Linked DNA regions of Lonchura striata. The protein of the gene in region 1 purifies or fractionates together with the protein of each later gene. This does not show direct contact. Links are inferred from orthologs where the notes say so. Each region holds a gene or a part of one and is shown on either strand. Other genes may lie near its edges.

Region 1 (7,797 bases):
TTTCATGTTTAAATATTTTCTTCATTAGAAGAAAATTTTTAAGTTTCTAAGCTATTTATTAATTCTACAGGCAGTAAAAACAATATTGATGAACACATGAGCACTTCAGCAATACTGGCTGATACATATTTAAAAAGCAGCCCACTGCAATAATGTTTTCAGATGTCAAATACTAAAGCTGGCTTAAAAATGCCTCTGTTCAGCTGCATTAAACACTTTTAACCCTGTCAGTGGGGGGTGTGGCAGGGTGTGGAATCGGTTTCTTCCATTTACAGAAACAGAGAACAGGATTAAGTCTGCGGGTATAGAACTATAAAGCCAACTGGATCACCACTGGTTGCTTCCTCTGTCTGGTTGGTGTGCACCAGCACCGAAATCTGGCACGCGTTCCCACAGCCTGGACATGTTTAGAAACAGGGAAAGGAAATAACTGTGCCTGAAAGAAAGGACACTGGTTTGTTGGCACTGCTCCAAAACATCATTCCTGGTACAGAAACTGTAATTTAATAATCCTAAAACTTCTTCAATGCCTATTCATTCTTTCAGAGAGGAAGACAGAGAGACTGGTAATTCCATCACTAGAGACGGAGCTTCCAAAATGTATTTTATGATCCAGAAGACGAAAGAGCCCCAGAGCTGAATGCAGCCGCACACAGCCCAACTTCTACACATACACGGAGTGCTGGAACCGTCCCAGGAACTCCTGTGTGTTCTCCACTTCCATTTCTTTTCAGGAAAAAACCAAAAACAATCCCAAACCAAAAAATCTCAAGTATCCTTTTCTTTTACCCAAGCCGTATCCTGTTGCAGACAGACCGATGGTGCCTGTGCCCGGACTCTCCCTTCTTTCTCAGGATATTTCCAAGGCAGGAGTGCGGGGAAGGAAAAGCGCCCACAACCAGCGGCAGCACCATTTTGTAAACACGCGGAGAACGCGGCTGGCAGGCGCTTTCCTGCCGCGGCACGGCCGGGAGCGGACAGAGCCGCCCGCCGCCGCCCGGGGCGCGGCACGGCGCTACCGGGAGCTCCGGGCACGGCGTTACCGGGGGCTCCGGGCACGGCGTTACCGGGAGCTCCGGGCACGGCGTTACAGGGAGCTCCGGGCACGGCGCTACCGGGAGCTCCGGGCACGGCGTTACCGGGGGCTCCGGGCACGGCGTTACCGGGGAGCTCCGGGCACGGCGTTACCGGGGGCTCCGGGCACGGCGTTACCGGGGAGCTCCGGGCACGGCGTTACCGGGGGCTCCGGGCACGGCGTTACCGGGGGCTCCGGGCACGGCGTTACCGGGGGACTCCGGGCACGGCGCTACCGGGAGCTCCGGGCACGGCGCTACCGGGAGCTCCGGGCACGGCGTTACCGGGGGGCTCCGGGCACGGCGCTACCGGGGGCTCCGGGCACGGCGTTACCGGGGGCTCCGGGCACGGCGCTACCGGGGACTCCGGGCACGGCGTTACCGGGGGCTCCGGGCACGGCGCTACCGGGAGCTCCGGGCACGGCGCTACCGGGCAGTTCCGGGCAGCTCCGGGCACGGCGCTACCGGGAGCTCCGGGCACGGCGTTACCGGGAGCTCCGGGCACGGCGTTACCGGGCAGTTCCGGGCAGCTCCGGGCACGGCGCTACCGGGAGCTCCGGGCAGCTCCGGGCACGGCGCTACCGGGGGCTCCGGGCACGGCGCTACCGGGAGCTCCGGGCACGGCGTTACCGGGGAGCTCCGGGCACGGCGTTACCGGGCAGTTCCGGGCAGCTCCGGGCACGGCGTTACCCCGGCCACGGGAAGCGGAGCGCGGCGCGCTGGCGGCACCGCGGAGGGCGGCACCGCGCCCCGAGCCCCGGCGGTCCCGGGAGCCCCGGCGGTCCGAGGAGCCCCGGCGGCGGCGGGGCCCTCCCGGCGGTGCCCGTGCCCGCCCCGTCCCGCCCCGCCCGCTCCCGCCCGCCCCGCACCTCCGCCAGGTCGGCCAGCCGGTCCTTCATCCCCGCGGCGCCGCTGCCCGCCGCGCTCCGCGCTGCTCCCGCGGGCCGCCCGCCGACCGACCCACCGACGGACCGACCGACAGACCGACCGGGCCGCCCGCCGACCGACAGACCGACCGCGCACGCTCGGCCCGGCCCGCCGCCCCGCCCGGCGCCGGCGTGACGTGGGGCGCGGCGGGCGGGAGCGGGGAGCGGGCACGGAGGAACGGGGAACTCAGAGCGGGGAACGGGCACGGAGGAACGGGGAACACAGAGCGGGGAGCGGGCACGGGGAGCGGGCACGGAGGAACGGCACAGAGAGCGGGGAGCGGGAACGGGAACGGAGAAACGGGGAACTCAGAGCGGGGAACGGGCACGGAGGAACGGGGAACCCAGACCGGGGAGCGGGCACGGAGGAACGGGGAACCCAGACCGGGGAGCGGGCACGGAGGAACGGGGAACTCAGAGCGGGGAGCGGGCACGGGGAGCGGGCACGGAGGAACGGGGAACTCAGAGCGGGGAACGGGCACGGAGGAACGGGGAACTCAGAGCGGGGAGCGGGCACGGAGGAACGGGGAACACAGAGCGGGGAGCGGGCACGGAGGAACGGGGAACACAGAGCGGGGAGCGGGCACGGAGGAACGGGGAACACAGAGCGGGGAGCGGGCACGGAGGAACGGGAACGGAGAGTGGGGAATGGGCACGGCAGGCAGTCCGGCCCCGCGGAGCGGGCACGGCGGAACGGGCACGATGGAACGGGCACAGCGGGCGGGCGGTGAGACACGGATGGTGCGGCACGGCCCGTGTGGCAAGGGCTTTACCAGGATAGCATTGTGCTGAGAAAAATAAAAGATGAATTGCATATTCTGAAAAAATAATCCTGACACCTAGAGGCGTTCAGCAAAAATGCAAAAAAACCCCACACAAACCCAACTCATCTCAAAAAGGGAAGGCAAATTGAGTGATTTTCCCAAGGAAATCTCACACAGCGTTTGGATTGGCATTACACTGTCAAATAAGCAAAAATTACAGCACAGGCCAGCCAGTCTTGTAAAGCTTTGTGTATTTTTTGTGTCTATGTCAGAGGAAGTTAACAAGAAATAAACTACATTTATATATATCAGCTGCCATGAAATACTTTCCTTGTCAATTCCATTCATTGAGATATATGTAAAAACGTATCATTTATTTATTCTAGATTATGGGGATAGCAACAAAGAAGATAAAAGTAATTGAAGTATACTGGATTAAAAAAATACCAGAGGCATTAAAAATCAGAGCAAACCCGTGAACTTGGTACCTATAGACACATGCAAAAGTTTTACACTCTTTGAAACTCAGTGTTTTCACTGACGTTTGGGCAGAGTTTTGAGATCTTGGAGAGCTATTCTAAATGCAAGGCTTCCAAAGCAAGTTTTGCTTTCAGGACTGCACAGCAGTGAGTGCAGGTCAGTTTGTGTGAAGGATGGAAAATCACGGGCGTTCCGGCCAGCCTGCCTCACGGGGCTGTGCCCGCTGTTGTGCCCGCTGTGCCCGGTGCTGTGCCTGCTCTGTCCGGTGCCATGTCCAGTGCCGTACCTACTGTGCCCGGTGCCGTGCCCGGTGCTGTGCCTGTGGTCGTGCCTGGTGCTGTGCCCGCTGTGTCCGGTGCCATGTCCGGTGTGGCCGGTGCCGTGCTCAGGGCTGTGCCCAGTGTACCCAGTGCCATACCCGCTCTCCCCGGTGCCATACCCTCTGTCCCCGGTGCCACACCCGCTCTCCCCGGCGCCATACCCGCTCTCCCCGGTGCTATACCCGCTCTCCCCGGTGCCATACCCTCTGTCCCCGGTGCCATACCCGCTCTCCCCGGTGCCATACCCTCTGTACCCGGTGCCATACCCTCTGTACCCGGTGCCATACCCGCTGTCCCCGGTGCCATACCCGCTCTCCCCAGTGCCATACCCTCTGTACCCGGTGCCATACCCTCTGTCCCCGGTGCCATACCCGCTCTCCCCGGTGCCATACCCGCTGTACCCGGTGCCATACCCTCTGTCCCCGGTGCCATACCCGCTCTCCCCGGTGCCATACCCGCTGTACCCGGTGCCATACCCTCTGTCCCCGGTGCCATACCCGCTCTCCCCGGTGCCATACCCGCTGTCCCCGGTGCCATACCCTCTGTACCCGGTGCCATACCCTCTGTCCCCGGTGCCATACCCGCTCTCCCCGGTGCTATACCCGCTCTCCCCGGTGCCATACCCTCTGTCCCCGCTGCCATACCCTCTGTCCCCGGTGCCATACCCTCTGTACCCGGTGCTATACCCGCTCTCCCCGGTGCCATACCCGCTCTCCCCGGTGCCATACCCGCTCTCCCCGGTGCCATACCCGCTGTACCCGGTGCCATACCCGCTCTCCCCGGTGCCATACCCACTGTGCCCGGTGCCATACCCGCTCTCCCCGGTGCCATACCCTCTGTCCCCGGTGCCATACCCGCTGTCCCCGGTGCCATACCCGCTGTACCCGGTGCCATACCCGCTCTCCCCGGTGCCATACCCGCTCTCCCCGGTGCCATACCCTCTGTCCCCGGTGCCGTACCCTCTGTACCCGGTCCCATACCCGCTGTGCCCGGTGCCATACCCGCTGTCCCCGGTGCCATACCCGCTGTCCCCGGTGCCATACCCTCTGTACCCGGTGCCATACCCGCTGTCCCCGGTGCCATACCCTCTGTCCCCGGTGCCATACCCGCTCTCCCCAGTGCCATACCCGCTGTCCCCGGTGCCATACCCGCTCTCCCCGGTGCCATACCCGCTCTCCCCGGTGCCCTGCCCCGCCTCCCGCCGCCTCCCGCGCGCCGCGCACCACGTGACGCGCGGCGCCGCCCCGCCCGCGGCCGCGCGCCGCCGCCGTCCGGGTATTTGAACGGCGCTTCCGCCATTTTCCCTGCGCCCGCACGGAGCGAGCAGCGGAGAGTCTCGGCAGAGGTACGGGCCCGGCCCGGCCCCCCGGCCCGGCCCGGCTCCCGCCGCCATCGGGGCGCGCCCGGCCGCTCTGCAGAGCGGGGGCGGCGGTCGGGCTCGTTGGCGGCCGGGCCGGGCGGGCCGTGCCTGAGGGAGCGTCGCGGCCGCGGGGCCCGGGCGCGTGGCGGCTTTTCCCCGCGAGCGGGGCCGCCGGGCCGCGGCCGTGCGCGGGGAGGGGGCGGTGCGAGGGCCGCCGGCGGGGCCCCCGCGGCCCGCCCGGCCGGGGCAGGGGCGCTGCTCTGTCATGGTGGCTGACGGCGGGCAGGCCCGGCCGCGGCGGCAGCGCCGCAGGGCGGGCGGCGGCTCCCGAGCGGCGGCGGGCTGCCGGCTCGGGGGGATGCCGGCTCGGGGGCGATGCCGGCTCGGGGGCGATGCCGGCTCGGGGGGGATGCCGGCTCGGGGGGGGTGCCGGCTCGGGGGCGATGCCGGCTCGGGGGGATGCCGGCTCGGGGGGCTCGGCGCAGTCGGGAGCGGGGCCGGGGGGCCGGGAGCGGGTCGGGAGCGGGGCCGGGGGGCCCGGCGCGGGTCGGGAGCGGGGCCGGGGCCCGGCGGGCGGCGGCGCGCCGCCATTCCGCCGCACGCGGGCGGCGCCTTCCGGCGGGGCCGCTGCCGCGCCGCGCTCGCCCGCTCACGCTGCCATTGCTCACGCTGCCATTTCCCCCGCAGAGCAGCATGGCCGCCCAGGGAGAGCCGCAAGTGCAGTTTAAGGTAAGCCGCGCTGCCCCGCTTTCCTTCGGGGCTTTTTCTCCCTTCGCTAGAAAAGTGACACAAACCACTCTCGAGTGCCTACGTGGATGGTGGGTTTGGTTTTGAACTGCTGGTCTTCCCTTAATGGGGCGATTTATTGAAGTGTTGAATACAACTCGCACAAAAAGACTCTATTAAACTATTTTCTAAATTCTTTTTTGTGTCATTATTTTATCTGTAATTCAGTCTGATAGCTTTCAATGAATCTTTACCTACAGAATGATTTTTAAATTTAAGAACTGAAGCTGCCCAGAGTGAATTAGAGTAGCTTGCTTTCTGTCATGTGCTAATGGTGCAAGTGTTTCAGAAGGGAATTTTCTGGTGTTTTGAGTGGCTGGTGGGGTGGTGGTTATCTTTTTGTTACCTTAACAGCCAGAAGTCCTGAAGACTCTTTCTTGAAGGTTGTTACTTGTGTTTCTTTCAGTTCTTGACTAGTGTGTTTCAGTTTATGGTGCAAATGTTGGTGGGTTCTTTAATTTTAAGGTAGCAAAGGTTTTCTCCAGTGGATGTTTTGATAATTTCCTCTTGGAATCTGGTTACAGTCAGGTTGAAAGCCCTAAATATTCTGCAGTGCAGCCCTTGCCTACAAGGGCTGGATAAGACTGATCAGAGTTACAGCATGATGGGTGGACTTAACAGATTTGGTTCCCAGCACAGGGAGCTGCTTCATGGGGAGTTCTGTCTTTGTTTACAGCACCTTGTAGGAGCTGTGCTCTTTGTAGTAATGAGTAGTATCTGTGCTGGAATGACTGATAAGTGTCTCAAGATGCATTGCTCTGACTCTTCCTTTTTCTGTCCTCAGCTTGTTCTGGTTGGTGATGGTGGCACTGGTAAAACAACATTTGTAAAGCGTCACTTGACTGGTGAATTTGAAAAGAAGTATGTAGGTATGTCTGAAGAAACATTTGAGCTCCAGTATCTTACAAATGAAAATACAATCTGTGACTTGCTAAATGCACTGCTTTTTGTTATTTCCCTAGCAACACTGGGTGTTGAAGTTCATCCTCTGGTGTTCCATACTAACAGAGGCCCTATTAAATTTAACGTATGGGACACAGCTGGCCAGGAGAAGTTTGGTGGCCTGCGTGATGGCTACTATATCCAAGGTAAGATCTGGGGGGACAGTTCTGTACCTCTTACAGCTCAGTCCTTCCTTCTGCTCATGCTGGCTGCGCTGCAAGCTGTCAGTGTGGCTGCAGTGATGAGCTGGCGTAGAACTCAAGCTCTTACGTGGAGAGAATAATGTCCCTTGCCAGACAACGTGGGAACACAGTAAGGTTGTGTTTCAGCGTGTTTTGTGGGCTTTGGTATTGATGGAATGACCAATAGCACTGGCAGCACTCGGTGGTTAAGGGGTGACAACGTGTGCTTCAGTAAGTGCAGATTTCTGTCTGGATTGCTGTGCTCAGGCAAGGCCTTGGAACACAGAAACTTGAGATTTTCAATACCATGATGCAGTTGGACACCTTCATGCCAGAGTCTGTCTTTCTGAAAATGTGCAGTGTTCTTTCTGCTTGGCAAATACCTGTCCCCTGCTTCTTCACTCACCCTGCACATCTTTAGTGTATCTTACTTTCGTAAAGTATTCTTGAGGTCCTTGAGAAGCCCTTCTGGACACGGGTATCCTGAGATGTGGACCACAGGCTCTCAGCCTACCTTTAAGCCTTATTGGCATGTCTGAGATGAATTAAACCAGTTCTGAGATGAATTAAACTGATTCTGCCAGGCATTTGGGTACATCCACACTGGCTTCCATAGTCTGTATAGTCTCATGGTGCAATGCCACGTTGCTCAGGGATAGAGCTGAGCTAGCAAGAGGAGCTGCTCTGCTATGGGGCAGCACAGGTGTGAGGTGATAGGGCCCTGGGCTGGTTCTGTGGGCTCCTGCACAGAGCTGGTTAACAGAACAGCAGCTGCCACAGCGGTGATGCCGAGAGGGAAGAGTTCATGCAGATGCTTCACCCTGATGTGGGAATCTCTGTGTTCCTCTTCTCCATCCCTTGTTGTAAGCAAGTGGCTGTGCCTGGTGTAACCTGACTTTCCTTCTCTTGCAGCTCAGTGTGCCATCATCATGTTTGATGTAACATCGAGAGTTACTTACAAGAA
Region 2 (7,713 bases), on another chromosome or scaffold:
TAGTACTGATCCATGCATGCTTTGCTAGTTGATGCTTTCCTGAAATCTTTGAGGTAATTGCAGTAGTCAGAGCTGCAAAATTTTATTCAGTGCTTCCTAATTATTCTATATCCAGGTCTGTTAGCACAATTCATGCATATACACCAGTGAGTTTAGTAATTTTCTTTTTATAGCTTCAATATATTATTCTGAATATAGGTGAACTGACTCAAATGGGTTATTCCTGCTTCATATCCTTTCAAGTTGTCACATTTTAACTCCAGCCAGGAACTAAGAGCACCACACAGCCACTCCCCTGGTGGGATGGGGGAGAATTGAAAAGGTAAAAGTGAGAAAACTTATAAGAGTTTTCTGAGATAAAGACACTTTAATAGGGAAAGCAAAAGCTGTGCATGCAAGCAATGCAAAGCAGGAAGTCATTCACCGCTTTCCGTGGGCAGGCAGGTGTTCAGACATCCCCAGGAAAGCAGAGCCCCATCACACCCAACAGTGACTTGGAAATTCAAATAGCACAACTATGAATTTCTAGCCCCCCCCCACTTCTTCCCCAGCTTTATATGCATATGATGCCATATGATGTGCAATGCCCCTTTCACCAGTTGGGGTCAGCTGTCCTGGCTGTGTCCTCTCCCAGCCTCCTCATTGGTGGGATAAGAAGCAGAAAAGACCTTGATGCTATGTGAGCACTGCCCAGCAAAAATGAAAATATCCTGTACTATCAACACTGTTTTGGTCAAAAATCCAAAACTTATCCCACATCAGCTACTGAAAAGAAAATCAATTCCATCCCAGCCAAAACCAGCACACCTGTAAAATGTTTCATTCTGCATCGACTTTGTTGTTGTCATTTTATATTACAAAACTTCCTGGGTCATTCTTAGCAGTCTCATGTCACTGAAAACATCAATACCACAGAAACCCTTTTTGTAAAAATACTAAGCCTTACCTAAAGCACACCTAACCAGCAACTAAAGATTGGGGTTTACTTTTACCCATACTTCTGCCACTGGAACAGTGTTCTGGAAACTCATTCCTCTGGCACTAATAAATCCTCCTCTTATTTCCAGTCTGGGTGAGGTAACTGACAGTTCCTGTATCAACATAGTTTTCATCACTAAAATAGATCTCCTGAATTTATTTTTTCCTTGTGCTTTTAGTGAAAAATAATAGAATTCAACAATTAGTACAGATAATAACATTTAAATAACCACACTTTACTACCCTGGGGCTAATTTCCCCCTTTTATATTATTCTAATTGGCTCAGTTATCTTTTCCTATACAGATTCTGGTTTTAATTAATCTTTTCTGAATATGTGGAAATATATACAGTATTTTAGAGGAAATAGGTGTTTTGAATCTCTTTTATATTGGGAAATATACCTCTGTACTTCTGTTGGCAATACATTAGTAGCTCAGACCTAAGAAAGAAATTTGTCCTATTGGAAGTGAGTGCATATTACAGGTTCAGGTCATTATTTTTGGTACAGTTTATGAGCATAAGTCAGCATCTAAAGAAGCAGAGCTGAACTTCACTGACCTCTGCCTTTCATTCCTGTTCCCATGTATCCTTTCCCTTTGGCCAGCACTGTCTGTGTTCCTATATAGCAAATCAGACTGAGAAATTTATTCCAGTTTTCTTTCAGCTGTTTTTCCCACCTTACAATTCCTGTACTAACCTCCATTTTTTTCAATTTAACTAATCCCTTCTCACTTGGCACTATACAAACACTTCACTGACATAATGGCAGATAACCACCAGTGCATTTTGTCCACAAAATCTGCAACCACAGGATGTGCCTAATACATAAGAAGCTTTTGGTATCCATGTCCAAATTCAAGTGGCATGACACCACTTAAAGTGAATTTTGTTCACTTGTGGTGAAATGAACAAACCCTAGAAACTGTTCAGCCAATCGGTGGTCCCATGTTGGCAAGCATGACTGGTAATGAGAAATGAGCCACAGGTGAAGTGAGAATAATATGATTAGATGGTGTAGAAGAAAAGATAGGGCCAGTGATCCTGCATCAAATGAATAGGATGTCTCAAGAAAAAGGAATATGAAGCAAAGTCAAGATAGTATAGAAACAGAATGAGAGGAAGACGAAAAAAAAAAAAAAAAAGGAAGAAAAAGAAAAATGGAGCAATGGAAGGAAGGGGAGGAAGAAGAAAAGAGACTGTACAAAGCCTAATATTTGGTCCACTATATTTCTATCACCATCCCAAAGCAATCCACTGAAAGGGTTACTTTCCCACCTCAATCAGAGCTGTACAGAGGTCCAAATATTGTCCTGAGTCAGGACTTGCCTTTTTAACAGGTGTCATGCTCAAAGTACATATTCAATAAAATCCAGAACAACACCAGTTATGAATCAGTTCTCCCACTCCCAGTATTAATAAAATTTGTGGGTACTATTTATTTTAAAAATATTTTTATAATATATAATTTTAAAGGCACCCCATGCAGCACATAATGGGGCACTGCAAATTGGTTATATAATAAGTAAGTAGAAGAAAGAACAATATAAACAGTGGTTTGCAGCCTTGACCCTATGGTGTTTCCTGCCACAATGAAAGTAAAAACACATGTTCCCTGACAACCATCAAGCACTTTGTCACTGCTGTTGGACATTTCACTGCCTTAGGGCTTGTCTACATGCAAAGCTATGTTGGTTTGTCTGGGTTTAATTTGCTGCAAAGGGCTATGTGAATTCTTATTTTGACCTAAATCAGACTTGCTTCAGTTTAGTTCAACAAATTAAAGGTCAGATAAAAGCCAAATAACTCCGTTGATTAGAACAATCACTGTTCTAATCAATTGCTTACAATTATAGTGCTGCCTGTGCTGGCAAAAGCTGATTTTCTAGTACCTTATCTTGATGAAGTTTCACCTGATTCCTCAGACTGTCTTAATTGACTTAAATTGTGCCTGAGTGGTCCTTAGGAACTAGTGCATACATGGTTAATGTCACCAAATTTTTGCTTCTGCTGCTGAATGCAGAATATATATCTAAAAATAATTTCAGTGGGGAAGTACAGGTTACTCTGAAACATAACATTTTTTTTTTTCCACTACCACACCCACACACAGGCACTTCTCAGCACACAAATGATGGCAGAAGCAAGGCACAGAGCACTCCAAACTAAACAGGTACATCATACACACACTGAGAGACACTTGGGGCTCCCTTAATTCAAAGCCTGCAATAGCAATTTTGCCTTAGTCTTGCTTGGTTAAGTGCTTGGTAAGAGTATTTAACACCGGTGCCCAAACACAGGGAAAGCTATATGCTTAGGGAAATGTAATGGAGATTAAGAATTAAATTAATGGAAAACCTGCCAGCATTATTCCAAAGAAGAGTATCCACAGAAGTAGTTATACCAGTACACTAATAGTAGGACAATTGTAATACTGTAATAACATCAGGACGTTTCCTGAATCTTGCTGCAAAGAAGCAGAACTTGTCTTAGTTTTAGAAAAGCTTGTCACCATCCTTATTTCAAAGGAAACACTTCAAGTACTTCCTCTTTGGAGGAACAACTCACAGCAGAGGATTCATTCTGCAATTTTCAAGTATTAATTTTAGGACAAGGCTTGCACCAACATTGTCATAAGCTATCTGTCTCAGAAAACAAATAATTTGTTGAGAAGGAAGGCTCTGCTAGGTCACCCCATCAGCTGAAACCTCAGCTACCCCAAGAGCAGCACAACCACAGTGCCAGCACAATCAGATTGTGACTGGGTGCCGCTATGGCTTAATTAACAATATATGCCAAACACCAAACATGTACAGCAAATCCTGCTTCCAAAGGATGGTAAGGTCTGTGGGGATTTTTTATGCTATTAGAGAAAGTCTAGCTTACACTTCAGAACACAATCAAAAAACACCAAAGTGTTAAAACTTTATGACAGCATATTTATAATTTTGTCTTTCAAAGACAACATGTCTTCATGTTTATGGTTAAATTAACAATATTAGATAATTATTATAAAACCTAAAAGTTACATGTATTTGGGGGGGTTATCAGTCTCTGTTAACTTTCCCACTGCGGTGACCTGTAACACAGTTTGTTTCAATCAGGAAGCTGCACAGGAAAGAGCTGTACTCTTCCCAGCAGCAGCTTCATAGTTCTTTGAACCTCTCCCCTCACAACCCTCCTTAAGCAAGAATGTGCTTTATGCAACTGCAAGGAAACCACTGGGTTACGCCGTGACACAGATCCCGACGTCGTGAGGCCTTTCCATGCGTGTCCTTAGCTGTCACCTCGGACTCCCGCACCCTCCCTGCTCTACCCTCACCATGGAGGCCACTAAACGCACTTTGCCCCCGATTTCACGTTCAGACAAGAGCCACGCGGACGTACATCCGCCGCCCGGCCCGCTCGACACCTGCGCTGTCAGGAGGCAGGGCAGGACAGGAGCATCGCCCCTTTTGTGTCCCCAGGTTCCGAGGGGCCCTGCCGGCCCTTCCCGAGATCCCACCGCGTCCCCATCCACACCCCAGCCCGCACCCTCCCAGGGGGGATTTAAACCAGAACCCGGAAGCCTACCCTGCCGGCGCGGTGCACGCCGGGAGCTGTAGTCCCAGCTCCCCAGAGTCCATCCTGTCTTTGAGTGGCGTGGGCCAGGACGGGAAAACCACGAGTCCCGTGAGCCTCTGCGGCGAGGGGGGTTGGCGTTTGAACCGGCGGCGTTGTTGTTGACGCCATATTGCTGGTGCGGGGGTTACGGCCGGGAGCGCCATCGCCGCCGCCATCGCCGCCGCCTGGGCCCTGCCATCGCCATCGCGCCGCATCGGCCTCCCCGCACCGCGCACCTGGGAGCGGCACCGCGTCCCTCGGCACTCCTCGTGTCCCGCCACCGGCCGCGGGCGGAATTTGTCCCGGCCGGGCAGGGCGGAGCGGGCGAGGAGAGCGGAGATCCAGCCGGACTGAACCGGGGTTGCTGCTGCCGCTGCCGGGGCGCTCCCTAGAGAGAGGCCGGCGGGGAGGCGGTGGAGGCGGCCCTGACGCAGCCGCCCCCTCCTTTCCCTTCCCTCCCCCCCAGCCCACTCCAGACAACGGGGAGGACGCCTCTGGGCAGGGCCGGCTGCTGCTGTCTCCACCGCTGCCCCTCGCTCCGAGCCCCCTTGGCCGCTCCGCGCCATGGCTTGCGGCGCCACTTTGAAAAGGACTCTGGATTTCGACCCGCTGCTGAGCCCGGCGTCACCGAAGCGAAGGCGATGTGCGCCATTGTCAGCCCCGGCCTCAGCCGCCTCCTCCTCCTTCGCCGCCGCTGCCTCCTCCCCGCAGAAATACCTGCGCATGGAGCCCTCGCCCTTCGGAGAGGTGTCGTCCCGGCTCACCACAGGTGAGGGACGCGGCGCTCCCCCCGGGGGCAGCTCGGCGGGGAGGGGGCCGGGAAGGCGGCCGGGAAGCGGGCAGGAGGAAGAGGGGGTTGGGTGGGTCTGGCGTCCCCCTCCAGCCATTTTCTGCCGGGCTGTGCGGCTGGCAGCGGCCGGGGCGATCCCTGCTCGGCTTGGCACCGAGAGACACAATAGAAATGGCCGTTTGCAGCAGGAGAGGAGGGGGGAGGAGGAGGAGGGACGGGGAGGAAGAAGGGGGGCCGGGTTGAGCCGATGCGGGCGGGTGGCCATAGGAAAGGGGTCGGTGAAGGCGGGGGGGTGAGATGAGGCTGGAGAAAGGGACCCGAGCGGCGTGGGGGATGGGAGTGCTGCTGGGGGGAAGCTCGATCTTAGGAAAGGAGGAGGCCGGTTTTTTTTTTTTTTGGTTTTTTTTTTTTTTTTCCTCCTCGTACCACGGGTGCTTAGATATGGCAAGGAGAGCCGCAGGGGCGAGTGGAGCTGCGGAAACGCTGGGGGCGGCAGGGGAGCGGGGTGCGACCGAGGTGGGGCTGGGGTCGGCAGTCGGCGGGGCCCGATCGATCCCTTCCTCGCAGCCATTATCGGTGGGTCGAGGCGGCCGCACCTCCTCCCGCTGCTCAGACATCGGGGGAGGGCGAGGGGGGCAGGGCGGGGAGGCCGGCCTGTCATCCATCACCCGCAGAACGCCAGTGGAAAAAGGCAAAAGCGAATAAAACAAAGGGGTAATCCCACTTCCCAGCTCCTTAATACGGGCTATCGTCCCGGGTAACCCATCCTGTGGTATCCTTAAAAGTTCCGTAGGAAAACCGAGCGTTAAAAGCGGTTGTGTGCAAGGGTGAGAGTTGCCTTTAGGGCAGATAAAATGGAATCGGGCGGTCTCCTGCTCTCGTTCGGGATACGCGGCGCAAGAACGAAACCCTTTTACATTCTTAAGGTGCGAGAGATGAGTCAACCGGCCGCCCCAAAAGCTCGAGGTCTGCTTGTGTACTGGTTGTCAAAAATCAACCGAGTTCTTTTTAGCAGCGAATAGGGAGAGAAGAAAGGGACGAATCTTGGTCGGGCACAAAAGATTGATTGGCCCGTGCCATGCTTAGTCCGGTGGGCAGCTTCCAGCAATGCACTCGGGGACGGTGCGGCTCGCGGCCATGAGCGGCTGTAGCGCCGAGGTATGGATGTACCCGTGTCCTTTGTGTGCAGGGGGAAAAAAAAGCCCTCTGCAGTTGTTGCAGCAGAATTCCTTCCGCTGTTCTGTTTGGTACTCCCTTTTATAACACAAGTTGGCTCCAGGGTACCAAGCACTAAGTTTGAATGTTCAAATTGCCGTTTACACGTAGGACAATGCCTTGTTTCAATATTCTTAGTTCGGAAAATGGTACCGTAGAATACACTTTTTTAGAGCTTTTAATTAAATAGTGAAAAATTGCTATGGAGGAAATATAGAGGGCATACAGAGTAAACTTGGCATCAATGCCTTGATATTTTTTTGAACCTCTAGGAAAGGATCTTGAATGAGTCAGCGGTCTGGGATGAGAGTTGTGATGGATGGCACTCCCTGCTACAGCGAGGCATTGCATGTACTTTGAAATAGATATTTAAAATCAGACCTAATTTAATTCTTTTAGAGGATAAGATTCTTTGCATGGTTTCTTTGGGGTTTGGAGAGCTTAGGTTATGAATATTTAATACAAGTATTGTCTGGCCAGTAAATATGTGTTGTTGAAAGGAGGCAAATCAGTAAAATTTTCAGAAGAGACAACCTACAGCAGTATTTGAGGTAATACCTAAGCTTCTACTCTAGCCATTCTGAAGGGCTTAAAAACTGAAATTGAGCAAATATAGGCCTCTTTGTCTCCTGAGAAAATCAGAGGTGCAGGTGGTAATCCATGTGAAAAGGTGATTTGTGTACAGACAAGGGTGTATTTTATGTATAAAAAATGTGTGTAATATAATGAAAAGTGAGACAGTAAATCAAAATGTCTCGTACAGCGCTTGAATACTCTTAAGCAAGACGTGAAGCATTTATAAGTTGTGCACGTTTACATGGGTTTTGCTTACAAGCTCCCTCTGTGGTTTCCGTTACAGAAAAAAAAAAAATCTTTATACCGTGCTGGTATAAATGCATCTGTTAATCAGCTTGCTTAGCTTTAAATTTCAGTTGAATTTGGGGATACTATAATATTGTATATATTTAATTTTGACCCTCACTGAGCAAAATAGAGCTCATAATTTTAGAGAGGCCTGTTGAAAGGTTGTGTGTGATTCATCTAATTTTGTAAATTTACCTGTGAACTAATAGTTTGCATTTTTCCTGGTAGCCCCTTGGAAGAATCATATGGTTTATTCTAGAGCTC
Region 3 (7,935 bases), on another chromosome or scaffold:
GGAACAATTTTTTGTCTTTTATGACAAAAAGAAAAGCCCATGTGATCATGTGATAGACTGCCAGGTCCAAAATTCCACTTGCTTAGAGGAAGGATTGCTACAAGGTGGTTGAAAAGAAATAGTGATTGTACCCTAAATTCAGAGGTGCAGCTTCACAAAGGCTCCTTAGGCATCTCAGTTTTTAAAGTTCTGAAAAACTGCTTACAGTAGTGTTTTAAAGGAATTTAGCTGTTTGTTTAATCATAATACTGGGCCAGATTTTATGTATATATGTGTATATATTTATGTGTGCTTGTTCCTTGAAATCTCTAAGAGCTGGGCTTTTAAACATGCAAAAGTAAAACCAGCAGCCCCTGTCTAAAGCACATGGAATTCACTTGAAAAGTCTCTCCATCATCCAGGCTTTATTGAAGTTAAAACCAATATTGGAGAGTGTGGGTCAAGTGTTTGGGCTGCTTTGGTGTCTGTTGGGATTTTGGCTTTTCATGTTTTTGTTACTGTCTGGAGTTGAATTTTAAGGAGGGGACAGGCTGGGCTAGCACCATCTAACCCAGGCTGATCCTTTCCCTGCTCCATGTGCTGCCCTGCCATTTCTTGGGGTTTTTTGCTGGTTCCAGTAGTCCCATGCCACTTCCTGTGGGGTCTTCCTTGGCGTGGGTCTGCGGGGGGAGCTCAGAGCTGTGCTTTGAGCTGAAACAGCAAAGGCAGAAACAGGGAGTTCATCCTAAAATACCTTTGCATACCAAGAATGTCTTTTTGTGGTGAGGAACCTGTCCTCCTAAAAGTCAGAAGAAGGGGTGACAGAGCTGGGGTTGGGCTTGGAGGCAGAAGTATTTGACCAGCAAGCTCTGAGTGCTGACTTTGCATGAGGGATCCCTGCAGAAACCTGTGAAGAGCCTGTGCTCCCAAACAGGTGGGAATTTTCCTGGAAAAGCCTGGAAGATTCAAATAAATGGAGTTTCTACAAATCCAGAAGAATGGGTCGGTGCATTCAGAGTGGTTATGCATCACTTCAGCTAAAAGGAGCTCAGGCTAGACTGGCATTGCTCTGGGATACCCCTCCTCTCCCTAAACCTCATCCTCTTTTTTTGCAGTGTGTTTGTAAGGCAGAGGAAACTTGCAATTGTGATCATTTTGTCCCTTCCTAACAGATACTTGCAGAGACGTGTCAGGTCTGATGCTGGTGCTGAGAGCCAGTGATAGCCTGGTGTGATGGAATCAGAGAATCACAGACTCAACAGGGTTGGAAGAGCCCCCCAAGACCATGGAGTCCAACAGTCACCCAAGCTCTGCCGTGTTCACCACTAACCTGTGTCCCCAAGTGCCACATCCACACGTCTTTTGAACGCTCCCAGGGGTGGTGACTCCACCACTGCTCTGGGCAGCTGTGCCATGGCCTGACCACCCTACTGGGAAGAAATTTTCCCTCATATCCAACCTGAACCTCCTCTGGAACAGCTCGAGGCTGCTGCTTCTTGCCGTATCCCTTGTTTCCTGGGAGAAGAGATCTGGACCTCCTGCCTCACTGATTTTGGTGTAGCAGCAGCTCACGTTTCCTATTAAGTTGAAATCCTGGGACAGTGCAGAAATGCGTGATGATCCTGAGCTTGCAGAAGTTACACATAAAAATAGGTATTTATTCCTCTAGCAGAAGCAGCATTTTGGATTGGGAAGAACAAGAGAGAAAAATCACATTTCCTCTTGCAGAGACCTCTCTGGGGCCAGCAATGACAGAGGAATGGCAGGAGCTCCCTGGTTGTGCCACTCAGGGCAGGGCCCAGTCTGGGTTGAGCAGCATGGCTGAAATGTGCCCTTCTTTTGCTACAGAAGTCCCAGCCTGTCGTGGTTGTGCCCATTCCTCTGGTTGGGAGTGGCCTCTCTGTGCAGTCTGTGCTCTGCCAGGAAGAGCAGGGCTTGACTGGGGTATGGGCAGTGCTGGGCATGACCTGAGCCCCTGCTCCTGTTTATTTGGGGGGAAAGATGGGGTCCACCAGCCCAACTTCTGCAGAAGGAAATCTAACTTCATTCTTGGGAAGTTTATGTAAGTGGAATTGGTTGCTTTCACCACAGCTGCCCAGGCTGTGGCTCAGGTGAGCACGAGGAGCTTCCAGAGGCACTTTGTCCCCTCTGCTCTCTTTGCTGATGTGAAGCTGCCCTTGCAGCAGCTGCCCAGGCCTGGAGACCAGGCAGGGAGAGTGAGGAGGGGGCTCCAGAGGGGCTGGTGTGGGCAGGTGTGTTCTGCCCTGCAGGTTCTGGTGCTGATCCAGCCCATCTGCTGGCACAGGGGAAGGGCTGGAGCTGTGGGGCTGCAGGATGGGGGGCAGCAGGACACTCACTGAGCCTGCAGGGAGCTGAACCCAGGCTTGGGTTTGTGTACCATCTCAAGTTGCTCCTTCTGCTTTTACAGAAAGTCTTCAATTCAGGTTGCAAAAGTTACATGTGTGGAATTGCAGAATCCCAAACTGGCAGAGGTTGGACGGGACCTCAAAGCCCATCTTGTTCCACCCCAGGCTTTTGGAAGGGACACCTTCCATTATTCCAGGTGGCCCCAAGCCCTGTCCAGCCTGGCCTTGGACATTTGTTATTAGAGAGTACAAGAAGAAAAATAAACCCCAAATACTGCTGCTGCCAGGTGCTCACTTGATAAACTCCAGAGCTTTCAAACAGGAGGTGGTGTGGGCAAGGAGAGCCATCCCTCACCATGGACTGGAATGTTGGTGGGCTCTCAGTGCAAAGAGGTGACCCCCCAGGATGGAGGTGGTCTAAGGGCAGAAGTGCAGCAGCTTGAACAGAGTGGGTGATTAAACATTGCGAGGGGATTGTGTTGGAGTCCCTGTGCCTGGAGGTGTCCAAGGGATGACTGGACACGGCACTCAGTGCTCTGGGCTGCTGACAAGGATGATCCTGGAGGGCTTTTCCAATCGGAGTGATTCTGTGATTCTCTGAACATGGCTGCCAGGCTCATCCCTGGCACTGGACTGTGTCTGTAGACAAATCACTGTCATACTTCTGGGCACTTAGTGACCAAATCATTACTGGATACAGAAAATGTCACAGTATTTTTCCTACAGTGTATGGGAACTGCTATCCCCATCCCAAAACACAACTCCATCACCACCCCCAGGTAAGAAGCCCATTTTGTATGGATCAATACTGCTTTTTAATCCTTGTAATGCTTTGTAAAATTACTTATACTTTCTAAATAAACAGCTGCAAAAACCACAGGTGGGCTCCTCAAGGCTCACACCGAGTGTTCACCACACCTATGTGTAGGAAAAGAAGTGGGGGTTTTCCTCCCTGTGACTGGTCCCTGCTCTGGGGTTCACTGGACTCTCTGGGGGCTCCAGGTGCTCCACAGGACCCTGGTCACTGCCTCAGTCCCCTGCTCCCACTGTGGCATCCCAGTCTTACAGGGGAAGGAGCACCCAAGATCCCTAGACACTCCTGGTGGAAAAGGAAAAAAGTCACAGGGTCCACAAAAAGTCAAAGATTTATTAGTAAATCACACACTTGTCATAGAAATTGTTCTGTTAATCCCTGATCTACTCTATAAGCTCATGGCAGTGGGGTTTGGATAGGGGGGTGGGAGGAATGGGAAGAGAGAGAGGAGAGAAAGGAGAGAATTAAAGAGAGGGAGAGAAAGAGAGAAATCACTCAATCAATCACTCAATCACTCACTCAATCAATCAATCAGCAGTCCTGGCTCCAGCACATTGACCCTGCTGTCCGGTCCGGCCCACGGGGTGTCCAGGTCGTGCCTGGGGGTTACATTTTCTGGGCAGGTTTCCCCAGCCTGACCCAGGTCCGTCGCTTTCCACGCCGTGAGTTCTCCTGCCCAGTCCCTTCGTTCGGGCCCTCCTGGAGCTGGGTCGGAGCCTTTGAGGGCGCTGATCGCGCCCAGCCCCGCTCGGCCCCGGCCCTGCGCGGGGCCACGCTGGGCTCTGCTGACCCCCAGGACCCGCAAGCAGGAGGTTGGTGCAGAGGAGCACGGCCCGTCCCGCCAGGCTCCGGCATTCCCATCCCGTCCCATTCCCAGCCCGTCCCATTCCCATCCCGTCCCATTCCCAGCCCGTCCCATTCCCATCCCGTCCCGCCGTTCTCCGGCATTCCCATCCCGTCCCATTCCCAGCCCGTCCCATTCCCATCTGTCCCATTCCCAGCCCGTCCCATTCCCATCCCGTCCCATTCCCATTCCCAGCCTGTCCCATTCCCATCCCGTCCCATTCCCATCTGTCCCATTCCCAGCCCATCCCATTCCCATCCCGTCCCATTCCCATTCCCATCCCGTCCCATTCCCATCTGTCCCATTCCCAGCCCGTCCCATTCCCATCCCGTCCCATTCCCATCTGTCCCATTCCCATTCCCAGCCCGTCCCATTCCCATCCCGTCCCATTCCCATTCCTATCCCGCCCCATTCCCATCCCGTCCCATTCCCATCCCGTCCCATTTCCATCTGTCCCACTCCCATCTGTCCCATTCCCATCCCATTCCATTCCCATCCGTCCCATTCCCATCTGTCCCACTCCCATCTGTCCCATTCCCATCCCATTCCATTCCCATCTGTCCCATTCCCATCCCGTCCCATTCCCATCCCATTCCATTCCCATCTGTCCCATTCCCATCTGTCCCATTCCCATCCCGTCCCATTCCCATCTGTCCCATTCTCATCTGTCCCATTCCCATCTGTCCCATTCCCATTCCATTCCATCCCATTCCCATCCGTCCCATTCCCATCTGTCCCACTCCCATCTGTCCCATTCTCATCCCATTCCATTCCCATCTGTCCCATTCTCATCCCATTCCATTCCCATCCCGTCCGAGCCGCTCCCTGCCCGGCGTGGCGCGGTCCGCCGCGCCGCCAGGGGGCGCGGTGCGCGGCGCGGGCGCGCCCCCGCGCGGTGCGTTTGGCGCGCGCGGCGCGCGGAGGGGCGGCGATGGCGGGAGGCGGCGGCGGGCCCGGGGCCGGGCCGGTGGCGCAGGGGCTGAAGGAGGCGCTGGTGGAGACGCTGACGGGGATCCTGTGCCCGGTGCAGGCCGTGCGAGCCGCTGCTGAGGAGCAGGTGAAGGTGCTGGAGGTGACGGAGGGTGAGTGAGGGCCGCGCTGAGGGGATGGGGGGACCCCAGGCCGCCGCCACAGCGGTTCCCGGTTCTTCGCCTCACGACTGCTCCTTGGCCTCGGCAGAAACTTCAGCCTCGTCTCTCGAGCCGGCGGCTGTGGCTGATTTCCTGCCGGCTGCCCTGTGTGCCCGACGTCTCTCACGGAATCACAGAATATTTGGGGCTGAAAGGGACCTTTGGAGATCGTTCGGGCCCAGGCAGGGTCACCTGGAGCAGGTGACACAGGGACACGTCCCGGTGGGTTTGGAATGTCTGCAGACAGCGACCTCCCTGGGGAGATGTTCCAGCGCTCTGCCTCCCTGAACGTAAAGTTCTTCCTCATGTTGAGGTGGAACTTCTTGTGGTTTAGTTTATGGCCATTGCTCCTTGTCCTGTCGCTGGGAACTGCTGAGAAGAGTCTGGCACCAGCCTCTTGGCTCCCGCCGTGGAGGTGCTTGTATGGATTGCTGAGATTTCCCTCTCAGTCTTCTCTAGACTAAACAAGCCCAGCTCCCACAGTCTCCACTCACCAGAGAGATGCTGCAGACCCCTCATCACCATCCACAGAGACCCGCTGCAGACCCCTCATCACCATCCACACAGACCCGCTGCAGACCCCTCATCACCATCCACAGAGACCCGCTCCAGACCCCTCATCACCATCCACACAGACCCGCTCCAGACCCCTCATCACCATCCACACAGACCCGCTCCAGACCCCTCATCACCATCCACACAGACCCGCTCCAGACCCCTCATCACCATCCACACAGACCCGCTGCAGACCCCTCATCACCATCCACACAGACCCGCTGCAGACCCCTCATCACCATCCACACAGACCCGCTGCAGTAGCTGCTTGTCTCTCTCCGAGGCAGCCCCTGCAGGGCTCGGTGCCAGAGGGACGGGCTGGCCCCTGCCTGCAGCGGGGCGTGTTTGGGGCACTGCTCTGGGCAGGGGGCAGGAGGGCTCTGCCCGTGCTCTGGGGTGGTGTGTGAGAACTGGGCACCAAGGAGCGCTCTGAGCTCACCAGGGTAGGACGTGGAGGGGCCATGGTGGTGAAGCAGCAGGGCTGTTGCTCTGGGTACCTTGGTCCACCTCAGCTGGAGTCTGAGGGTGGGTTACATGAGGGTCATGGAGAGCCCTTCCATCTGTAGACCCTGGCCAGCTCCTGCAGGGATCTTCACCTCCAGATGTGTGTCCTGGTGTGTGCCCATGTTCTGCAGGTTGTCATCTGTGCACGGTGTGTTTGAGGTTGAGGGTGGCCAGGATGTAGTTGTGCCCTCATCCCGTGTGAAACTCCAGTGACAAGGCTCCACTGTCTGTGATGGAAAGCTGAGGACAAGCAGGACAGTGGAGCTGGATGGCAACTAGCCTGTGGCTTTGGAAAGAGATTCTAAATGAGTGAACACCCCAGGTTCAAGCAGTGTTGCTAATCATTCCATTAGTCCTTTGGCCTTTTCATGGTGACACTAGGTTAGTTCATGCACTGGCTGCTTTTTCTGTGTAGAAGATACATTTAAAAATCTGTTAATGCTAACATTTTATTTTGCTTCAGCCAAAATCACTGGAGTTTGTAGAAGCCACAGAAAGATTTGCAGATGATCTGCTGTGACAGGAGCTGGAGAGTGTAGCACTGCAACCCCAGTCCTGACATTTTGCTTGTGGCCTGGCAGCTTGATGGGTTAGCTATTTGTAGACTCTCCTGGAAATTTTGCCTTAACCTTTAGTCTGATTGCACTATTCTGAATGTGTTTTGTGAACTCTTTCTGCTCCTGAACTTCAGCTCAGAAGTGTTACCAGAGGCAGTTTTGGTACAAAGAGGGAAGGTGCAAGGGTGAGACAGGGTCAAGAGCGGTGTTGTGATTTTGCTGCTCTGGGAGTGAAGTCAGGCAGTTGTTTGATAAAATCTTTGTTCTTGTGCATTCCCTTAAAGTGCTTGTACCACACTCAGCTTAGCTCTTCCTGGCATTACCAGGAATTCTGTGTCACCCCCACAGCTCTTGGAGTTTCGTGGAGTGGTTCAATGGCATTGCAGGCAGCACAAGTCTGGAAGTGCTGGGAGGTTCATTGACTGTGGAGCCTTGGCCTTCACTGCCTACTTCAGTGGCAGCTTCTCCCCAAAGAGTCAACCTTTTCACAGACTCGGTGACAGATTTCCAGAGAAGAATGTTTTCTGAGGGTTCTAGGCAATGGATATCCCTGAGGTACCTTTGAGAGCCCAGGATTGCAGAATTGCTTTTAGTGGATGTTATGGTAAGAGGAATGGAGTCATCTACCCTTCTATTTTGCCATGCTTTTACAAATCTGCTGAAGTCCTCGATAATTCTCTGTGGTTGTAGGGCCAGGACTCTGAGGTCTGGTGCAGCATCTGACCTGGAGGAGGCTGCAGAACCTACACAAGCAGCTTGCAGGTGACACCAAACTGGAGGGGAGGCAGTTGATGTCTGAAGGCAGGGCTGCTCTCCAAAGGGCCCTACAGGAACAGAGCCAGAGGAATTCAGCAAGGACAGACAGCACGTTCTGCTCCTGGGACAGGACTGCTGGGATGTGGGTCAGGTACTGCCTGGCTGGGGAGCAGCCTTGGGACAAAGGGCCAGGAAATACCAGTGCCTGGTGAGCTGGCAGGGCCAGCGGCGTGCCCTGGAGGCCACCTGCGTGCCGGGCTGTGGGAGCAGGATCAGAGGCAGTGATCAGCCCTCTCTAGTCAGCGCTCATTAGACCACACCTGGAATACCTGGGCAGTTTTGCTCCCACCCCCCTGGGATGAGACACAGCAGCAAAGGGGAGTGAGTTCAGCAGAGGGTCATGGGCTGGCCTGGGGGATTGCAGCACATG
Region 4 (7,009 bases), on another chromosome or scaffold:
GAAACTCAATAGATGCAGGCCCCTTGAATTTTGATGTGAGGATGTTAAACTTTCAAAATCATGCTGGATTTGCTGTCACTTTAGTTGCAGTGTACAGTTGGGGTGCTTGAGCTTGGTAGTACAAACCAGTTGCTAGGCAAAGGATTTTGTATCCAACAAGCACTGTCATCACAAGCTGGAAGATTATAACCCAGGCACAGACCTGGAAGTGTCCTGCTTTGAAGTGCATATCCTGCTTTGCATAGCGTTACCTAACATCATACTTTACCTGTAGCAAGTAATTTGTGGAAACCTTTCATTGTGTTATTAGATAGTAAGGGTGCATGTTGGCTTGGTAGAAATACTATAGAGTATCCACTGATTTTTTTTTTTTTTTTTTTTTTTTGTTAGCTTTTGGGAGTTTGATCCATATGTGAATTATATAACAAGGAGCCCATGTAGTTGTGTGATTTCACTTTAATCAGCACTGTATTACCACAGCACATAAACATCAGAGTCTGTAGTCACAATATTTATGCAGAGTTTACATCTTAGCAAGGTCTCCACACTCTGCATTATAGACTATTTTCAGACATGCATCTTCTGTTCTGGGCTGTAAAGTACCTGTATAGTGAAAATACTGCTTATGAAATGTAGTGAAGGAGGTTGTTTGAGCCATTAATTGTGCAAACCTGAGAAATGTTGGGGAATGTATTTTCTTTAGTCAGCACAGAAGAAAAGTGAGTTGAAGAAGGGAAGTCTGCTGGTTGCAGCCTGTGTGAGGCTGTTTTAAATAGCTCTCTGATTTTGTTTTCTGTCTCCTGAGCCTTTCTAGTCTATACTGCTTACCAGTTAGGAGTGCATATCAAGATACTGTGTGCAGCATATTCTTTACTGTAAATGCACACCGAAAAAACTTTGGTATTGGTGTAAGCATGAATTAGGGAAAAAGTGAATGCATCAGATCTGCTGGCATTCATTGCTGAGACTTTTAACTGGGGAAACTTTAAGCACTGGTCCAGCTACTGCCTCACTTAGCAAGCCTACACAAAGACCTGAACATGTCCATGATACAGATGCCTGCTCTCAGTTCTGCAAAGAGCTAATTGCAGTAGAAACATTTAAAAAAAAGTATTGGGACCAATGTTTTCAACACTACACTATTTCACTTTGTTTCTTTTTTTTGTCTGTTTTGCCCAGCTGGAAAGTTGTGGAGTTTTTTAAGTCTGATGAAAGGGTTTTTTTTAAGAATATCAAGTATTGGTTTTATAAACTCTTCATTGTACCTAGCTGTGATAGATAGTGCCTTTACCTAAAACCCACTTAATTCTTGAAGAAGAGTAATGTTTTTGTTTTCTACTATTCTGAACAGAAAAGCTTTAGTACCATGGTTTGAGGGGCTAATGATCCTGTAGTCAGTGAACAGGGAGGAAAAAACAGGCTAAAAACCAGTGAAGACTGAAAAGTGTTCAAAAAGGTTAAATGGTACTTAAGCCGTGAATGTTTCTTTTTGCAGGGATGCTCTTGGACCAACAGCTTCTTTCTAGCACTACCTCAAAGTAACTTGCAGATATAACTCACAGGGAAGATTGATCAAATGGTGATGATCACTATCGTTCTGCTGGAGATATATATATATATATATATATGCCTTTTGTTTTGTCTCATTTTAATGACATTTATTTAACTTCAGTGACTCATGTCAATAGACATTGACTACATCAACAAGTATTTCTGAGTCATGAGTTTCTTTAAAGGTATGTCACCATATGGAAATTGTTCTAAATAGGTAAAATAAGTAAATAAAGCAGCACTTGAATTTATAGAGCAAATGTCTAGTGTAGCTGCATTTGACATGTATATGGAAGAGAAAATCGTGTTTACAGCTTACCTTAATATTCTTAGCATACATGAAGAGGGAAGCTCGTTTTAAATTTGTTCAGCTCCTACCTGACCAGCACAAGAATGATTTTAGTCAGTTCCCCACGCAGGTACCATTTTAGAAGCCAGCATTGTTACTAATGAATGTATGTTACCAACGTGCAGTTTCCATCCCCTCTGTAAATCTCGCTCTTCCCATAATGGAAACACATTATGCTAGCCTTCCTTCCCCTTCTCTTAAGCTGAAAGCTAGCATGGTAATTGGTTCCTGGACAAAAAGAATTGCAAATCCAGGCAAAAATACTATTTTTTTCCTATTTTGATAATTATACTGATGTAGATCTAGAAATGCCCATTGTAGAAGCAGACCATCATCCTAAAATTAGTCAGCAGCTGTAGCACATCAGCCGTTTACGCAAAATGAGGTGGTTCTTGCAGGTGACTTCAAACAGGCATGTTCCAGGATAGGGATCGTCTATCACTGCAGGTCATCCCCCTGCATGTAAAACTGTATTCTTAATTGTGAGAGTAAGAGTGTAGTTTTATGAGGAGAAATATCTGGAAAATAATTCCACTATGCTAGGTATTGGATAATAGTTATTTCCTATAGTTAATGAAAATGGGACAGAGAAATTGAGCCAAGTCATGTAAGAGAGCTAGGAGGACCCCAGTGAAGTTCAAAAAAAACCAGTATGAAGCAGAGATGAGGCAACACAAAATTTCCTAGTACCATTTCTTACAGCTGTTCCTCTGCAGCTGCTGCCAGCTTACCTTTCTGTATGCCTTCAGAATCACCCTTGTTTGAGCTCCCCATAATTTCCAAAACCTTTCTTCAGGTGCGTGCTGGTTTGCACTGCTCAGCTCCATCCTTCCCACGGCAAGTTGATGCTAAAAATAAAGAGTGAAACCATAGTGTTTTCTCAACTTTACTTTCAGTAAGATAAAAATCCCACATTTTTATGTATTTAAACTTTGTAATAGGAATGCACTCTTCCTCATATTTTGAGGAAGTAAAAGCCACGGCGAAGCCTTTTCCCCTACCTCCTTTCCATAGGCCACCACTTAGTGATGAAAAACCTGCACCTGCTGTTTTCTCTTGCTTACACAAACTCGATCGCTAGTGGCAATCTGGGGGAGCACTGTGGGCTTCCCCGTGCAGTTTTTCCTGGTGCCGTTTTTCCTGGTGCCGTTTTTCCTGCTTCATTGTCCATGCTGTTCTTCGTCAGGGACAAGGGAAACATCCCCCTCACGCGTGGGTAAGTTGTGTACCTGGGGGCAGATCGTCAGAAGGACAGAGGCAGGCTCTGCTCGGTGGTGCCAGTCTCCCTTCACTGAAGAAAGTCAGGAACTGTCTGGATGCAATCCTGTGCCATGTGCTTTGGGACGACACTGCTTGAGCGGGAAGGTTGGATCAGATGACTCACTGTGCTCTTTTTCAACCTGAGTCATTCTGTGAAACGCTGCGGGAAGAGGGGAGGTGGCGGCGGAGTCACCCGCGGCGGGACCCCGGCACGAACCTCCGCTCGTGTCCCCTCAAGGCGTCCCTGTGCTGCGCCCGCGAGCAGGCACGTCCCCCGCCACGTCCTTGGCGGTCGCGGCAGATCCCAGCGAGCGCTTTTCCCGCGCAGCCGGCCCGGCCCGGCCCGGCCCCTCCCGCTTCCCTCGCAGCGGGGGCGGTGCGCGTGCGCGTGCGCGGCCGGGCCGTCGGTCCGGCGCCGCTTGTGTGACGCGCCCGCGCGGGCTGGTGACGCGCGCGCGGCCCGGGGCGGCCGCCGTGTGGTTGGTCGGCAGGGCAGGGGGGTGCGGCGGCGGCTCGGGCCGCGGGCGGGCGGACAGCGCGCGGGGCGCCGCCGCCGGGCGGGAGAGCGGAGCTGGGAGCGGCGGGCGCAGGGATCGGGAGGGAACGCGGGGAAAGGGGAGACGCGCGGGAGGGAGAGGCGCGCGAGAGCGCGCGCGCGCGCGGGTAGGGGCGGGGCGGAGGCCGCGGAGGAGCCCCCCGCGCACGCACCAGAGGCCGCGCGCGGCGCGTGGCGGGCGGGAGCGGCGCGGGGGGAGCGAGGCCCGGCCGGGCGCGTCCCCGCGGGGACGGTGACAGCGGCAGCGCTGCCGGGCCGCGGCGGAGCGCAGCGGCCGCACCTGGGCGAGGAGGACGAGGCCGCCGGCGGCGGCGGGCCGGATCGCATCATGGCCTCGGGTGGCGGCGGCGGCGGCGGCGGCAAGATCCGGACCCGACGGCACCACCTGGGAGCCGCCAAGCCGCCCTACGCGAGGGGCAAGCAGCAGGTGAGGCGGCGGGTCAGCCCCGTGAACCCCTTCCCTTCCCACCCCGCTTCTCCCCCGGCGCTCCCGTCCGCGGCGGCAGGAGGCGCCCCGGAGGCCCGACCCGGCAGAGCCGCCCCTTTGCTCCGCCGCCCTCCCCCCCGCTCTCCACGCAGCCCCACGTGCGCGGCTTCGGGCCGGGGTTTCCCGGTGGAGCGGCCCGTGGGGAGGCAGGAGGGAAGCGTTTCCCGCCGGGACCATGGGCATTGTGGGATTTCCGGGCGCTCGCCCCGCTCCGGCGCCGCCGGGCTGCGGGGGGATTCTCGCCTCCCCTTTGTCTTCTGCGTGTCCCCCGCTAGGCAGGAGCAAAGGCGGGAGGAGGAGGAGGCGGCTGGGCAGGCGTAGGTGCGCATTCCCGCTCCTCGCGGTTGGAGCGGGCTGGCTCCCGCTCCACGGGATGCTCGCTCGTTTTGTCTCTGGGCTGCCCGGTTAAATCCTAATTTAATTGATCTTAACTGGATTATCAAGTTAGAGTTAGTCTTCAGATTTAAGTGCATCGTTTCTAATATTTGCTTTTCCTGACAAATTCCAGGTTGCGAATGAGGCTGTGAGGGTGCTGGGTAGTTGGGCATCTCTTCCATTGTGGTTTCTTTTTCTCTCTCTTTTTTTTTTTTAATAGGATGCTGCCTACAGAACCCTTAGGTTTTTTTTTTTAGTGTCTTGCCTGTCCCTAAACGTGGTGGTGCAGTGCAAGCACAATGTAATTCATGAGGCATTTGTTCTTCTTTGTGTTGTGGGACAGAATAGATGGATAACAGAAAAAAAGCAGTTTGTAAATTGTGTTACAAAGATCCTATGCCATTTAGAATGGCTGCAGAGAGTAGAAGCAAAGATCCTTCCTAACTCCTGTTTGTCAGAGAATTTCAAGATGCCTGGAGATGGTGCTCTGGAAATGCCTTTCACGTGTATTTGTGAACCTGAAATTGACTGTAAAACCAAGCGTTATTAAATCGGTAATATAAGCCAGGAGATTAAATATTATAGGCAAAATTGAGGGCATGTTATGCATAAATTGTTGCTCAATTAGTTCTTATTTGGGAAGTACGATTCTTAATCCTTTGTATAACACTGATCAGCAGTGTTGTCCTTGTAAAGTGGGCAGGGTGACTCTTCATCCAAAGAATCACTGCACTTGCTGAGCAAATGTTGAAAGCTCTTACGTGAACAACAGTAATGTTGAAATTTCAATATGCTGCACATGGTGATACTGTGTAGATAACTAATAAAACAGATGAATTAAAAATAATTAGGTGAGATGATTTTCTGATTGTTCTATTGTCTGTTACCTCTGCGGGTTTTCTAGTAGGTTTATTTAAACAATGGGGCAAAGCAAACATGTGCCTGGGGGGATATCTGTGAGATGCAGCCCAGAGCATGGATGCTGCAAGTTGAATACATCAATCAAATTAACTAGTATATTGGGGAAGAAATGGTAAATAGTCAAACAGATAGGTGTCAGATGTGCATTTGTCATAAGTTATGGCTTTTTAACCCTATGTAGCTTGCTAACCTGCGTTACATAAAAAGATGAGCTCTGGGTAGATAGCTGACTTGAACTGGAATTAATTGATAATTTTATTTTCAATAAAACATCCACTCTGCAGAAAGTATTCTGTGGTTTGGTGTTGTCTCTCAGTAATGAGTTTGAGAAGACATAGAAGTGCTCAGTGCAGACTGGACATGATCTCCTGCTCCCCTAACTTATCAATAAGGGAGCTCATAGAAGTACTGTATTAGAACTGTTCTAAGTGCTTTAGATCAAGACTGCAGTCTCTTATCACCAAGCTCTGAAGGTGCCTAAGCACTGAATGCCATATTGCTAAAATCTTTACAGTTCTTAGGATATCTGATTCTTTTCCACTTGTATGATAGATGAGTAGTAGCATGATGCCAGGCTTATAACAGGCCTGTTGTATGTTTTTCTTAAGTTGTTATGCTTTCTTGATGTTGTTGTTTTGCCATAGTCTCCCAGGGAGCTTGGTCACATGTGAATTCTCCAGTGGTCCCTAGCATGTTGCAGTCAGTCTTCCATTAAGTGCAGCAATGGCTTTAGAAGATATTTGGAAGAGGAGATGATGCTGCTTTTCAAAGATGATTAGCTAAAGCATTTGTTCAAAATGTGGTAGACCCTGTTTTAGATTTTTTTTTTTTTTTTTTTTTTTTTTTTACTTAGAGGCATCAACCTACATCTTCCACTTTCTGGGCAAATATCCCAGTTGCCAAGCTGTATGCTGTCTTTGAGTTCTTCTGACTGAAACTGTGTTATTATCCAGAAAAAGAATGTGTGATTCATTGAGCCAGGAAGAGGATGTATAAGAAGATGTTACCTTCCAAGAGTGGAGACATACAGCCTGTGATCCATGATTTCAGAAGTTATTTGTTTTATATATTCTTGGAATAAACATGGAAAGTGCAGAATTTCCTGCCCTTTTCTCCCCAGGTGCCTGATAGAGCCATATTGCGTTATATTTGCATGTGTTTTTGTTTTTTTTAAACTGTGGAGGTTTTTTTTGAATCAATCTCAGATAGGAGAGATGAACAGATGCTGCTTGGAGGATGTGACTTGCAGCTTTTATTTTCTCTTGGAAGATGGAGCTATGAGTAGATTTCCCCCAGTAGTGAAGGAACTTAACCACAGTATTTTCCTTTCTGGGCTACCATCCTGCCTTATAAAAAATGCACTGTCAGTGGTTGTATTATTAAACCAAGAGACAAAAAGTAATAGCACAATGAGGTAAGGACAGTATCCACTAACCATGAAGATTTGAGGTGGGGGAATCACAGAACAAAAAGAGCCTTTTTGTATCTCTTTGGTGGGTGTTCCTGGAGT

Evidence for each region.
Region 2: the proteins of RAN (region 1) and AKIRIN2 purify together in Homo sapiens (affinity purification with mass spectrometry; 3 studies listed by BioGRID and IntAct, counting the BioPlex papers as one, with this or other methods). This does not show direct contact. The link is inferred for Lonchura striata from reciprocal best matches to the Homo sapiens genes RAN and AKIRIN2.
Region 3: the proteins of RAN (region 1) and IPO9 purify together in Homo sapiens (affinity purification with mass spectrometry; 3 studies listed by BioGRID and IntAct, with this or other methods). This does not show direct contact. The link is inferred for Lonchura striata from reciprocal best matches to the Homo sapiens genes RAN and IPO9.
Region 4: the proteins of RAN (region 1) and NUP153 purify together in Homo sapiens (affinity purification with mass spectrometry; 5 studies listed by BioGRID and IntAct, counting the BioPlex papers as one, with this or other methods). This does not show direct contact. The link is inferred for Lonchura striata from reciprocal best matches to the Homo sapiens genes RAN and NUP153.

The regions. Positions count from the first base shown.
Region 1 is NC_134620.1:14,955,529-14,963,325, forward strand, and holds the start of RAN (GTP-binding nuclear protein Ran), read left to right. Parts: upstream 1-4,786; 5' UTR 4,787-4,908; intron 4,909-5,610; 5' UTR 5,611-5,616; coding exon 5,617-5,652; intron 5,653-6,493; coding exon 6,494-6,578; intron 6,579-6,671; coding exon 6,672-6,797; intron 6,798-7,745; coding exon 7,746-7,797. Other genes in the region: STX2 (syntaxin-2), read right to left, coding at 1,943-1,972. UniProt on the Homo sapiens protein: GTPase involved in nucleocytoplasmic transport, participating both to the import and the export from the nucleus of proteins and RNAs. Switches between a cytoplasmic GDP- and a nuclear GTP-bound state by nucleotide exchange and GTP hydrolysis.
Region 2 is NC_134605.1:78,763,473-78,771,185, forward strand, and holds the start of AKIRIN2 (akirin-2), read left to right. Parts: upstream 1-4,712; 5' UTR 4,713-5,144; coding exon 5,145-5,349; intron 5,350-7,713. UniProt on the Homo sapiens protein: Molecular adapter that acts as a bridge between a variety of multiprotein complexes, and which is involved in embryonic development, immunity, myogenesis and brain development.
Region 3 is NC_134632.1:386,239-394,173, reverse strand, and holds the start of IPO9 (importin-9), read left to right. Parts: upstream 1-4,920; 5' UTR 4,921-4,934; coding exon 4,935-5,085; intron 5,086-7,935. UniProt on the Homo sapiens protein: Nuclear transport receptor that mediates nuclear import of proteins, such as histones, proteasome and actin. Serves as receptor for nuclear localization signals (NLS) in cargo substrates.
Region 4 is NC_134603.1:90,606,385-90,613,393, reverse strand, and holds the start of NUP153 (nuclear pore complex protein Nup153), read left to right. Parts: upstream 1-4,006; 5' UTR 4,007-4,044; coding exon 4,045-4,143; intron 4,144-7,009. UniProt on the Homo sapiens protein: Component of the nuclear pore complex (NPC), a complex required for the trafficking across the nuclear envelope. Functions as a scaffolding element in the nuclear phase of the NPC essential for normal nucleocytoplasmic transport of proteins and mRNAs.